Linked DNA regions of Tamandua tetradactyla. The protein of the gene in region 1 purifies or fractionates together with the protein of each later gene. This does not show direct contact. Links are inferred from orthologs where the notes say so. Each region holds a gene or a part of one and is shown on either strand. Other genes may lie near its edges.

Region 1 (7,313 bases):
CGAAAACCCGGAAAAATCCACAACAAAACTACTAGAGCTAATAAATGAGTACAGCAAAGTAGCAGGTTACAAGATCAACATTCAAAAATCTGTAGCATTTCTATACACTAGTAATGAACAAGCTGAGGGGGAAATCAAGAAACGAATCCCATTTACAATTGCAACTAAAAGAATAAAATACCTAGGAATAAATTTAACTAAAGAGACAAAAAACCTATATAAAGAAAACTACAAAAAACTGCTAAAAGAAATCACAGAAGACCTAAATAGATGGAAGGGCATACCGTGTTCATGGATTGGAAGACTAAATATAGTTAAGATGTCAATCCTACCTAAATTGATTTACAGATTCAATGCAATACCAATCAAAATCCCAACAACTTATTTTTCAGAAATAGAAAAACCAATAAGCAAATTTATCTGGAAGGGCAGGGTGCCCCGAATTGCTAAAAACATCTTGAGGAAAAAAAACGAAGCTGGAGGTCTCGCGCTGCCTGACTTGAAGGCATATTATGAAGCCACAGTGATCAAAACAGCATGGTATTGGCATAAAGATAGATATATCGACCAATGGAATCGAATAGAGTGCTCAGATATAGACCCTCTCATCTATGGACATTTGATCTTTGATAAGGCAGTCAAGCCAACTCACCTGGGACAGAGCAGTCTCTTCAATAAATGGTGCCTAGAGAACTGGATATCCATATGCAAAAGAATGAAAGAAGACCCATCTCTCACACCCTATACAAAAGTTAACTCAAAATGGATCAAAGATCTAAACATTATGTCTAAGACCATAAAACAGTTAGAGGAAAATGTTGGGAGATATCTTATGGATCTTACAACTGGAGGCGGTTTTATGGACCTTAAACCTAAAGCAAGAGCACTGAAGAAGGAAATAAATAAATGGGAACTCCTCAAAATTAAACACTTTTGCGCATCAAAGAACTTCATCAAGAAAGTAGAAAGACAGCCTTCACAATGGGAGACAATATTTGGAAATGATATATCAGATAAAGGTCTAGTATCCAGAATTTATAAAGAGATTGTTCATCTCAACAACAAAAAGACAGCCAACCCAATTACAAAATGGGAAAAAGACTTGAACAGACACCTCTCAGAAGAGGAAATACGGATGGCCAAGAGGCACATGAAGAGCTGCTCAATGTCCCTGGCCATTAGAGAAATGCAAATCAAAACCACAATGAGATATCATCTCACACCCACCAGAATGGCCATTATCAACAAAACAGAAAACGACAAGTGCTGGAGAGGATGCGGAGAAAGAGGCACACTTATCCACTGTTGGTGGGAATGTCAAAGGGTACAACCACTGTGGAAGGCAGTTTGGCGGTTCCTCAAAAAGCTGAATATAGAATTGCCATACGACCCAGCAATACCATTGCTAGGTATCTACTCAAAGGACTTAAGGGCAAAGACACAAACGGACATTTGCACACCAATGTTTATAGCAGCATTATTTACAATTGCAAAGAGATGGAAACAGCCAAAATCTCCATCAACAGAAGAGTGGCTAAACAAACTGTGGTATATACATACGATGGAATATTATGCAGCTTTAAGACAAGATAAACTTATGAACCATGTAATAACATGGATGGACCTAGAGAATATTATGCTGAGTGAATCCAGCCAAAAACTAAAGGACAAATACTGTATGGTCCCACTGATGTGAACGGACATTCGAGAATAAACTTGAAATATGTCATTGGTAACAGAGTTCAGCAGGAGTTAGAAACAGGGTAAGACAATGGGTAATTGAAGCTGAAGGGATACAGACTGTGCAACAGGACTAGATACAAAAACTCAAAAATGGACAGCACAATAATACCTAATTGTAAAGTAATCATGTTAAAACACTGAATGAAGCTGCATCTGAGCTATAGGTTTTTGTTTTGTTTTGTTTTGTTTTGTTTTGATTTTACTATTATTACTTTTATTTTTTTCTCTATATTAACATTCTATATGTTTTTCGGTTATGTTGCTAGTTCTTCTAAACCAATGCAAATGTAGTAAGAAATGATGATCATGCATCTATGTGATGATGTTAAGAATTAATGATTGCATGTGTAGAATGGTATGATCTCTAAATGTTGGGTTAATTTCTTTTTTCCGTTAATTAAAAAAAAAAAAAAGAGAAGGGATAATTGGAGATGAAGGGATACAGACTGTACAACGGGACTGGATATAAAAACTCAGAAATGGACAGCACAATACTACCCAATTGTAATGCAATTATGTTAAAACACTGAATGAAGCTGCATGTGAGGTATAGGTTTTTTGTTTTTGTTTTTTTTGTTTTTTTTTCTTTCTATTATTGCTTTAATTCTTATTCTGTTGTCTTTTTATTTCTTTTTCTAAATCGATGCAAATGTACTAAGAAATGATGAATATGCAACTATGTGATGTTATTAAGAATTACTGATTGTACATGTAGATTGGAATGATTTCTAATTGTTTTGTTAATTCTTTTTTTAATTAATAAAAAAAAATAGAGTGGTATACGGGTAAAAAATACAGCCTAGTATAAACTATGTATAATAGTACAATTATTCTTTCATCAATTGTAACAAGTTACCAGAGAGATGCAAAGTGTTAAAAGAGGGGGTGGTGGTGGTGGTACATGGGAATGTTGTATTTTGGATTTCTCTGTAAATTTACACTTCCCTAATTCAAAAAAATTAAAAACCTATGACACCTAATCATATACAATTGTATACAATCAAAGGTTCACAGTATCATAACATAATTGTGCATGTATCTCTGTGCTGGTTTGAAAGGAGTATGTACCCTAGAAAAGCTATGTTTTAATCCTGATCCATTTTGTGGAGGCAGGGGTTTCTTTTAATCCCTATGCAGCACTGTAGGTTGGAAACTTGATTAGATTATCTCTATGGAGATGTGACACACCCAACTGTGGGTATTAATCTTTGATTAAAGGGGTTGCGACTCCACCCATTTCAAATGGGTCTTATGATTAGTTTACTGGAATCCTTTAAAGAGGAAACATTTTGGAGAGAGCCATGAGAACCACAAGAGCCCAGTCAGCCAGAGACCTTTAAAGATGAAGAAGGAATATGCCTCTGGGGGAGCTTCATGAAACAAGAAGCCTATTTTTTGCTAGCCTGAAAGAAAGCTAGCAGATGTTGCCATGTTTGCTATGTGCCTTTCCAGTTGAGAAACCCTGAACTTCATCAGCATTTCTTGAGTGATGGTAACCTTTCAATGGTACCTTAATTTGGACATTTTTTATAGACTTGCTTTAATTTGGAGATTTTAAACTTGCAACTTAAAATCCCCTTTTTAAAAGCCATTCTGTTTCTGGCATATTGCATTCCTGCAGCTGGCAAACTAGAACAGTCCTCATGACCAATCCTTAATCATGTTTTTGTACAAACTTTATACGATATATTTTTTTGTCACCACCATTTAGGACGCAATAGGCACTCAGTCAATGTTTGTTACTGTATAATACTACAGTTTGCCTAGTTCTGTAAGTTTCTTTAGGGGCTATGCCATACTTTTTTTTTTTTTGGTTTCACTTCACTGAGTCCACAAAGCAGAGTGGCAAGCCTGAGTTATGAAGGAGAATCTTGCTAAGGGTGGGGGTCCTCAAAGGGTTTATTCTCAGAGCCCTGACAGATGAGAGGCTCCGCAGGTACAGAAAACGAGAGACAGGAAAAGAATGATTCCAATGACAGATACTTCCAGAGAGCCCATCTCCCCGTTTTTCATTCATTATTCAAGATAGAACAAAACTCTCAAGCAACCGATGAAGGCGAAGGGATCGGAGGCCTGTTTGAGGGATGGAGAGTGAGGCGGTGGTTGGGGCGGGGGTTGAGGAACAGCTGAACACAAATCCTACAGGCCGGAGTAAACGCAACCTTCGTCCGTAATTTCACATTTCCCGCGATTCCTCTCATATCGTTCATATCAAATAGACGGTCTCCTTCCGCCACCCCCCACTCCTGACAGCCTATCCCGAGGACGAGATCCAGACTGTGTGACCACTAATTACAACGGAAACATTAGCGGGAACAGAACGACTCAAGATAGTTTTTCCAAACAGCATCAAACCAGCGAGATCCCGCGAGTTTTGGGTAAAAAGAGCGTCCACCGTAAGGCCACCTACACTTCCCCCTACCGGCGCTGAGCAGGCTCAAACGGGTCGCGCGCCGCAGAAGCCGCGCGTTACCCCTAGCGCGAGCCTAATGCGCATGCTCAGGCGCGCACGCAGCCCCACCCCCGTCGGCCCGTCAGCCGGCCGCGTGCAGCCCTCTCCGCCACCCGTCGGGTCTGTGTTGCCTCTCGGCTTCCGCGCCGTTGGGGGAAGTGCTGACGAATCTGGGCGCACTGTTAGAGGGAAGAGCTGGGAGGCCGGATCTACTGGGGAGAGAGCGGCAGAGTGTAGCAGGGTAGAAGTGGGAGGGAGGCAGAGTTCCGTGACGGAGCGCGGCGTAGTAAGTCAGCTTGAGTCCGATTCAAGTTCAGGACCTAGACTGGCCATCCAGACCCGTTTGCCCGCGGTACACCTGGTTTGAGGAGGACAGACCGGACACAGAGAGACCGACCGAGCAAGGAGACATGGCCTCGTCATTTCTGCCCACGGGGGCCACCACAGGCAGCAGTAGCGGGGAGCTTAGCTCGGAGGAGGACTCCGGTGATGCCGGGGAGTCCCATCAGAACCCCGAGTTGAAGGCGTCCAGGAGCCTGACGGAGTTGTTCGAGAAGGCTGCAGTACATCTCCAAAGCCTGATTGAGGTGGCCAGCAGGGAGCAGCTCCTGTATCTGTATGCCAGGTACAAGCAGGTAAGGTCGCAGGGAAGGAGTGGATGTAGGAGAGACAAGGGGGCCTTGCCTTCTCTTTCCTCCAAAAACAGATAGCAAACGTACATGTTTAATGGCTAGGTATAATGAAGTTTGCCTGTGTTTTGTTTTGAATCATCTGCTGGGGGTTAGCATCATTCATGACATAGGAAGGTCCTGTCTGCTATCCTACGAGTGATATGCTGAACACTAAATGACAGTTTTTCTGTCCTCATTGAAACATTCAGTGACTTTGCACATAGCCTTTTACCAGCTTCATAGTCTTTACAGAATGAGGATGATAAAATAAGATTTATCATTCATTTTTTTAAACGGTTTTATTCACACACCTTACACTACACTAAATGTACAATGAATGGCTCTTGGTATAATCACAGTTATACATTCTCCACCACAATAGATACGAGAACATTCTCGTTTCTTCCGAAAAAGAAACTCATACCCCTTTTACCTCCCTATTTTTGACTTTTATCTTTGGTATAGTGCCTTTGTTATAATTAATGAAATAATATTGGTGTTATTAACTATAGACCTTAGTTTGCATTGATTGTATTTTCCCAAATATCACCCTATCATTAGCACCTTGAAATAATGACAAACGTTTTTCTAGCTTGAATCATTCACTCTTGCAAGGGGTCATATGGCAGTAAATATGATAAATGTTAATAAATATCTTTGAGATCCAAGAGAATAATATGATTGCAATAAATGGGATGATCAATAAACAAAATATTACTTTTGTGTTTTTTTAACCTTGTAGATCTCAGACTTATGTTTTGACTGAATATTTCAGTCTGTTACATATAATCATAAAATTTTATATAATCATAAAATTTTAGAGGTAACTTGTCCATGGTCATACAGATAAATCCGAACTCAATTGTAACTCCCAGCTCTCTCTGAAGTCCTGAACTTTAACTGGAAATTTGGATGTTAATGAGTTATTCATATAAGGTATGTTTAATTTATCATTCAAAGAGGCATTGTAAGGAATCAGAAGGAAAAATGGTTGATTTATCAATCAACAAATATTTGTTTAGTTAGTGCCTTTTCTGTACACAAAACTTAGGTGTTGTGCCTATAGGGTATGCTGAAAAGCAAAAGCATCATGATACTTGCCCTCAAGAGGTTTGCAATGTATTTGAGGAATCTAGATGTAAACGTGTAGAATATCTACAATTATCTGAAAAGTCTATTAAAATTTTCTCCTTTTTCTAACAACATGTCTGTGTGATGCCAGTTTTCTTCCTGTGCTTCAGTCAAAACAACATATTGCGACAGGTTCAGTGCAAATGTAGATTTGAGAATTCAACTGCCTTCTATTAAGCCAGACACGAAAGAGATTTACAAAATATAAAACAATGTTACTCTTCTTATAAAATTTTGTTTTTGAGTATATAGTTATTTTCCATAAAATTTTATGTTAACATATAATGTTTTCGTTTGCCAGTGCTTCCAGAATACAATACACCAGAGATGAACTGGCTTTTATAAAGGGGATTTATTTAGTTACAAATTTATAGTTCTTCGGAGTAAAGGCAGCTGGCTTTCCTCTGGCTTCCTGTGTCACTTGGGAAAGCATCCTGAGGCGTCTGCTGACCTTCCCTCCAGGCTTCTTGGTTCGAATGGCTTTCTCTGGGCAATTCCTTTCTGTATCTCCAACTTCTGGGTCTGAGCTGCTGAGCTATCCTCTGACTTTTTTCTTTTAAGCCTCCACCTAATTAAATTAAATGTTACTCATTGTGGGAGGTACTCTCTTAGACAATTGCAGATGTCATCAGCAATAGATAAATTTTACATGCTGATGATATAAGTCAACAGCCACAGAACTAGGCAGCATCACCTGGCCAAGTTGAGACCTGAACCTAACTACTACAAGTTTATTATTATTTTAAATTAATTAACCCACATTTTAAAATATGGTTTCTGTTTTAATTTCTAATATGGTAAATATCATTAGTGAAAACCCATATATAAAGAAAAGCTCTTTGGGGTCCTTAATTTCTGAGTGTTAAGGGACCTTGAGACCAAAAAGTTTGAGAACTGCTGCCTTAAAATTCTCTTTTCATGCCTAGAAGTGGCTCACTGTCGTCACGTGTATGTTCTAATCAGGGTAAAGGGGAAGGGGGAGATAAGCACCACCCCTTTTTAAAAAAACAGTTTTATTGAAATATATTCACTGGCCATATGATCCATCCAGAGTAACAATCATTAGTTCACAGTATCATCACATGGTTGGACATTTATCACCTAAATCAATTTTAGAGCATTTTCACTTTTAAGATGAAAGACTCCTTTATTTTTAGGGAAGGTAATTATATAATTTATATACATCTAATCTCCAGAACCTCGCAGAAGTTAAATAGACGCATGTGATGTTCTGCTGGATGGCCATGTGTCTAGCTGAAACTTCTATTACTATAGATGTAATGAAGAATAGGTGCTGGTATTCCTTTCTGCCACTG
Region 2 (7,387 bases), on another chromosome or scaffold:
GGGTATTTCATAAAAATCATAGTAAGGCTTACAGTGAGAGTATTTGGGGGAAAGAAAAAATGTATGCAAGAAAAAATTGACATTCCTCCACTTAATAAGGGGAAAATGAAAGTCCTCTAGCATTTGGGCTGTACGCTTTTAACATACTTGCCATTCTTTCACAGAGCAAATACTCATTAAGGCCCAGTGAGCACCACACACTTTGCAGAAAAAATCCGTTCTCATGTACCTTACAGTCAGGTGAGGCAGGAATTGGACACATTAAAAATGTTAATTAATTATTTCTACGATAAAAGCTATTCTGGCTTAGGGGCAGAATTTTCACCTGCCATGTCCAAGACCAGGGTTCAGTTCCCAGAGCCTGCCTATGCTATAAAAAAAAAAAAGCTATGAAAAATACAGTATGTGATAACAGCAGAGTGAGGTAGGGAAGGCTGGGGGAAGAGGATCAGAGATTTGAAAAAAGAACAGGAAGGGAAGGGCTGCATTCCAGACGTTATCTCACTTAATACCAGCAACAATTCTAGGTTAAATAATTTTCCCAAGGTCACAAGACTATTAAATGTCAGAACCAGGCTTTGAATCCAGGTGTGAATGACTTCAAAGTTCATGCTTTTCCCACAGTGCCATGTTGCATTTTCCCAAAACCTCTGCTGAAATTAATGGGAAAAAGTTGATTCTACCCTACATTCTATTATCTAAGTGCCAGAATTAGATTCTGTCCTCCAGCTAGGCTCTGTGTTTCACCCAACCACTCCAAGCTCATTTACATAGACCTCTAGATTTGGAATGCTAATAAACTTAAGTTGTTCAACCAGACCATAACCATGTACAAAACAGACAAACACACAAAAACACTCCAAAGTGTTTTTTTTAGGTTACTATAAAATAATTACTATTGTTGTACTATAAATAAAACGCAAAGCTTTATGCCAAACAGTTTTGTATGTGATTCATACATTATAAGGAACAAAACAAATTAAAGAGCCATAGACACTGGTCAGGGATACAGTCAAAAAAAAAAACGTAAACTATATAAAGAGAAAAGAAAAAAACATATTTTCAGTTCTGAAAAGACTTTCACTTTCAACAACTCTTCTGAAGAGGACTATACTTTCTCTTCTTTCTGTTCCTTCTTTTTCTTTTTTTCAGCTCTTCATTCTTAGGAATCTCAAACTTTAAAATGCAGCTTTTGCTATACTTGATCTGTTGTGAGTTACAGCAATTAAACAGTTTTATAAAACCAAATTTGAAAAACTGCCTATTTCTTTTGTTTTTCTCGTGAGTTTTTTTTTTTTTTGGTATGCTGTATGGTGGGGGTCACAGTTCATTCTTTCTCCATGTGAGTACCCCGAAATTGCAGGTCAAAAACAAACTTAACCATTTGTTGAATTTTTGTTTGTTTACTTACTTGTTTTTTTTTTTTGGGAAGTGCATGGGCTGGGACTCCAACTGGGTCTCCTGTACAGAAGGTGAGAATTCTACTACTGAACTACCCTTGCACACCCTTCTTGTGCTTTTTAATGCTGACTGAAAAACATAAAAGCTAAATATTTTAACCTGGGATTTAGTACAAGCAAATTAAAAACCATATAAACTACTTACATAATCCTTTGTTCTCCTGCTGCTACACAATAAAAGATTTTTAAAAAAAGAGCAGTTTATCCAAAGACCTCAATCCTCTACTCTACTAATCTCTAAGGCTACCACCAATACTGCCAATGACAAGCTGGCTATGAAAATCAAATTACGACAGGCCACAGACTCAGCAAGAATTATACATTCAACACAGTTACTCAGAGCTTCCAGTTAACAAAACATATATGTAAATACAGATGGACTAAGAAAGTTTGTATACAGCACGTGGGCGCCAGCCATGCCACCGTGACAACGTGAAGATGAATGATAGGGTGCGGCGCATAAGACTGAAAACGGATTTGGCAGGAAAAAAACCCTCAAGACTCAAATTCCTGATGCATTTCTCCTTAGGAAGACATAGTTTCTACTAGGTAAGATCCTGTAGTACAGGAAATGCAGTATCATACTCAATTTCCAAACGCTATTCAAGAAGCACTACCGCTCAATTTCTTTCAGCTTGAGGTTACTTCGCAAAGTTAACAGAGCAAAGATGCAAGACTTAATTATACAGTTCAGGAAATGTACGGATTATTTGGATCAACGGACACCGTGTAACTCAAAACAACCTGCAGTAATTACCTAGGGTTTATAAAGTGAGTTTATATTTTGACTTCTCCAGTACTGCTATTTCACAACATAATTATGGTTTGAATAGCCTGATGAATTTCCTCATTGAAGGTGAATGTAGGGAAATGTTTTATTTTTCGTTTATTGCTAACCATTTTGTTCACACAACACCTTTATACTGTACTGTCATTGGACGGCCCCGCATTGTGCTCTTTTCCCCGGACGAGCCTGAAGCAAACGAGTGGAACATTACACAGAAGAACTTTTACACAATAAAAGTACTGAATGTCTCCGGCCCTAATATACTGAACGCCCAATCCTGGTAAATGACAAAGACAGCAACCAATCACCAGACAGGACCCACTGTCTTAGCCAATAAGAATATAGGGGTGGGCCTTAGAATAAGCTGCCGGTGACTTCCCCGCACCCCAGAGAACCAGGTTGTGGGAGAGACTGGGTAGCAATTGGGCCGACTATCTTGTTACCCCCGGTTGTAGCTGTTGTCCTCCTCGTTTTCGCAATCACTGCAGTGCTCATGGCCGTTTCCGTTCCCTTCCATCATCTGCGGCAGCGGAGGTACCGGCGGCTTCACTGCTGTCTCACTCTCGTCCGCCATCTTGCGTTGCGAGAGCCGGGCTCCGCGCCTCGCTACATGGGGGCTTCCTATTGGATATGGGGAACTTGCGCTATCTTCTGGGTTTTGTAGTTTTTATGGCGAAGGATTGAGCCTCACCTAGGAGCGGCTCGTGCCCGGAAACCGGAAAGAAGTGGACTACAATACCCAGAAATTATGAGGGAGGGTGTCCTTTAGGTGGGAAGGGACAGCAACACGCGGAAGTCCTAGGCGTTCCGCCGAGCTTTGAGGAGAGACCCGCCCCGAGGTCGATGGAGTCCACCCTTCCCCAGGGTGGACGCGTGGCATGCTGGGAGTTGTAGTTCCATGCTCGATTAGGGGTTCTGGCGTGGAGGCTCCAAAATCCAAGTTAGAGCAAGTTTGACCTCAGCTTGCTCTAGCCAGTGCCTGGGCCTTAGGTGAACCGGTACTGGTTGCCGTTAAGGACCTTTAGCCATCCCGGGTAAGTGAGAGGGTCGGAGACCCTCGGGTGTGACCCGTCCGGAGCCAGAATGGCTTGGGCCTTTTCGGAGAGGCTTTTCTGCAAGAAGCCAGGTTGGCCCCTGGCCGCCTTACTCACTCGGGACTCTGGGCAGCCCCTGATCGTTGATAGTTCAAGTCCTCGTGAGAGGCTGTGGGTGGTGGGGTGTGGAGCCCTGAACCTGAGCCAAGAGACTTTACTGCTCAGTCAGGCCTCGTGGTTTCTTGTCCTCCAGGTACTGGTCTCCACTAAGCAGACGTTTCCCTTTCATTCTCCAGGAACAGCCATCCACTTTGCTGAGCATTTACATCCCAGGCCCTGTGATGAGGTATTTTGTACATTATCTCACTTAGTCTTCCCAGCAAACCTAGAATGTGGGTACTATTAGTATCCCCCCTCGTCACAGATGAAGAAATGAGGCCGAAAGAGGGTAGTAAATTCTAACCACGGCTAGTAAGTGGTAAAATCATAACACAAATCTGGATCTCTGTGCCCTAGGCCCTCTGAATTCTCTATCATTACAAAAATCCCATTGTCTGATACACATCTACCCCCAAAATCCGTTATTAGAAGGTAACTGCAACATTTTAATCTGCTTTTAGCCTTCAGTCCCTTGGGTCTCACTCTGTGACTGAGTAATATCTGAACTGGGTGCTGAGGAAAGAACCCAAAGACATGGTTCCCATTCAGGTTGGAGGTTGTGGGTGGTGAGGAAAGAACTAGTTCATCCTGCTAGAGAGCTCCCTGGGCAAAAACAGAAATGATCTTTGCCTTTGGGAAACTATGAATATGGGAAGAAGAGTAGAGTGGGAAGAAGTAGTTCCCATCTGACTCAGGGAAACAAAACACAAGTAAAATATAGAGCTAAATATAGTCAACTCTTAGTTTTTAAGTTGGTTGCAGGAGCAGAAGTAAATATGATTCAAAGCAGTTAGAAACTCCTGCTTAGGCTGAGAGCTGTCACCCACACTGACCTGGCCAGGGCTAGGACTTCTGTCAGCATGATACCTTATATGCAGCTGCAGAAGGAGGAGGCGGTCAAAGAAAATAATAAGCCTTAAAAGTATTAGATGGGGGCTGGCCACGGTGGCTCAGCAGGCAGAATTCTCGCCTGCCATCTCATAGACCCGGGTTCGATTCTCGGTGCCTGCCCATGCAAAAAAAAAGTGTTAGTTGGATTTAACTTTTCTAAGTATTTTGACCCTACTTTAGTTAATAATGACCTTGTGAAGTAGGTTGAGAAGGTGTGATTTACAGAAAATTGTGCTTGCAAAAAATTAATAAATAAAAAATCAAACAGTGATACTGAATTACAAAACTGGGACCAGAACTCTTATCTGGGTATCCTAATTCCCAATCCTTTATTTTCTTTTCCCACAGATAAGCAGAGGTCGAATGAAGACCAAAGAACAACCAGAGAAGAATAATATTAGGGAATGAAGGCCCTGATTTCTGTGAATGCTGCCATTCTTGCAGGTCAGAGCTTGAGTAAGACCTTGTACTTCACTGCAAACTGAGCCGGCTTTTACTGAAGCAGTTTTTCTAGGAAGTAAGCAGACAATGTGGCTGTCATGACCAAGTTCAGAATGCAACTACAAGTCCAAAGTTCTGGAATGCAGCACCTCCAGGAATTACAGAGAAAGAAGGGACCTGAGGGGCACTTTCTCTCTCTCTCTCCCTCTCTCTCTTTGTCTCTGTTTCTCTCAGTATTTTTCAAATCAGGATTCTCAGATTTTAAAAGATTCATGAGTTCTCTATAATAAAATTTAAACTTTATGTATTTAAAAAGAAACTGAACACATATAGTCACTTTACCACTTGATAACTGAGTATTGCCACATGGGATTTTAGTATTTAAGTTTTTTGGGGGGAAGAATTTGTCACATTTGTACAGAATGTTCACCCAAAGCAAAGTAATGGAGAGTTTCCTAAATTTTTTCTTGGGGTTCCAAGAGTTCTCATATTTTTTCCTCCTCACCCCCATAAGAGACAGCCTTTCACTTTCAGACAATTCTAATTGGTGGGAAGTTGGCCAAGTTCTGCCTTATGGGGTTATGCAGAAATGTACAGTCTTGTGTCCTTATAATTATTACATTTCCTACAATTAGTATTTGATTCCCTAAAATTCTTCTCTTTTCTGAGCTCCTCATCACAGTAGAATGGCAGGACCCTTTTGTCTAGCCCTACTGGCTCTTCCCACACACCTGTTCTGGCAGGGCATTACATGAAGTTAGTGGGTACAGCAGGCCTCCGAGGGTGGCTGAGTGACCTGCCTGTGGAACTCTGCAGCTTCTAGAATTTACTCCTATCACAGACACTTCCCTCAACCCCTCACAGATGGAGGCAGTAGAATGTGGTGGTTAGAGTCCAGGTTCCAGAATCTGACTCTGCTGGTTCCGGCTGAAACAGCCACAAGACTTAACCTGAAAGAAAAATAGGGGGAGATCCATCCGGGATTGCCCAAAACTGCTCCACAATGGGGCTGTTGAGATTCAGAAGAAACGCTGAATGCCAGGGTAATCAATCCTTAAGCATTTATTAGGAGAACTTACATACAGAGAGCTGCCAAACAGTGAGACTGGCAAATTCACTTGAGTATGTCTACGCCTATGGCAACAGCTGGGGGACAAAGGTGTCTGAATGCCAGAAGTTTGTGTGCCAGATTTGGGAAAACATCTGGGTATGTGCTCTTTTCTCAAAACAAAGTGTGCTTGGGGTGGGCAGTATTCAAGGTTGTGCTTGCAAAAAAAAAAAAAAAAAAAAAAATCGAACAGCCAAAGCTGGGCATGCTTCCAGGGAGTTCACAGAGTCAATGGTAAGAAAGAAGAATAAGGCCTTCAGGGTGGGGAAGCTTAAAAAGTAAGAGGGCAGAAGCAGGGACTCCTGCAATATAGTGACCCCTTATGTTTATACAATGCAATAACCAAATTATTTTCCTCCTTCCCCTTTCCCAAGGGGTCTGTATGTCTGGAGAGGTGATCTTGGGCCAGGTCACAAAAGGCCCTGCATTTCAGGCTAGGGAGTTTGGACTTTATCTTCCAGCTGGTGAGGACCTATGGGAGGTGGGTTTTGTTTTGTTTTGTTTTGTTTTGTTTTTTGGAAGTTTTATAATAAAGGATAAATATTAATGATATTTGTAAGGTTTGGTATGAATTTAATTGCATATTAATATTTATTTTAAATAAACATACTGAAAATAAATTTCATTATAAGAACAAGAGTCAAAGACCTGGGAGTCAAAGGAGTCATTTCTAATGGATTCAAGGAGTTGTTAATCAAACAAAATTTGAAACACCACCATGTTCCAGGCATCATGCCGTATGTTAAGGATACAGAGGTGACTGAGAAGCAGTATGTTGTCAGTATAAAGATCATATAAAAAGCTAGAGTCACCTCAAAGTTTACTATTACTCCCCTGAATAATGAAGGATATGTTTTGAGGCTGAGAAAGCCCTTGATACTACCAAGGTGAAGCTTCAGTGCAGAGAAGGTGCTTGGTTAAAGCCTCTGCAGCAGCCCTTCAACCTTTACCCCGGCAGAGTTGCAGCAACTATTGTCAGATTGGACCACAAGGATATCAATTTAAAAGACAAGGCCTCTCTCATAAACAAGAATCTGGGAAAATCAGAATCATCTGCAAAAATTTCCTAACAGCATGAGATTTTGTAGGTTTGTCCAGAGTGATGCCCCGATAAATCCCAGAGTGATGTAAACAGTGAATAAAAAGTTTTTGTGAAGTCCCCTTGGGGGAATGGTTAGAAAGGGGGAAAATTCAACTCCACCATCTGGAGAATTCCTGATATTCTCACAAGCAGTGGAAACAACCAAAGCAATAGGCCGAGCCCTCAATCTTGGGGTTTGTTCATATGAAACTTATCCCCGCAAAGGACAGGCTAAGCCTACTTAAAATTAGGCCAAGGAGTCACCCCCAGAGAACCTCTTTTGTTGCTCAGATGTGGCCTCTCTCTCTCAGCCAACATGACAAGCAAACTCACTGCCCTCCCCCTCTCTACATGGGACATGACTCCCAGGGGTATAAACCTTCCTGGCAACGTGGGACAGAAATCCTAGAATGAGCTGGGACTCAG

Evidence for each region. Proteins that work in one complex are often made in the same cells at the same time.
Region 2: the proteins of ACBD6 (region 1) and NMT1 purify together in Homo sapiens (co-immunoprecipitation; 3 studies listed by BioGRID and IntAct, with this or other methods). This does not show direct contact. The link is inferred for Tamandua tetradactyla from reciprocal best matches to the Homo sapiens genes ACBD6 and NMT1.

The regions. Positions count from the first base shown.
Region 1 is NC_135330.1:35,326,254-35,333,566, reverse strand, and holds the start of ACBD6 (acyl-CoA-binding domain-containing protein 6), read left to right. Parts: upstream 1-4,242; 5' UTR 4,243-4,605; coding exon 4,606-4,830; intron 4,831-7,313. UniProt on the Homo sapiens protein: Binds long-chain acyl-coenzyme A molecules with a strong preference for unsaturated C18:1-CoA, lower affinity for unsaturated C20:4-CoA, and very weak affinity for saturated C16:0-CoA. Does not bind fatty acids. Plays a role in protein N-myristoylation.
Region 2 is NC_135332.1:22,390,981-22,398,367, forward strand, and holds the start of NMT1 (glycylpeptide N-tetradecanoyltransferase 1), read right to left. Parts: upstream 3,110-7,387; 5' UTR 2,822-3,109; coding exon 2,691-2,821; exon of another isoform or gene 2,606-2,690; intron 1-2,605.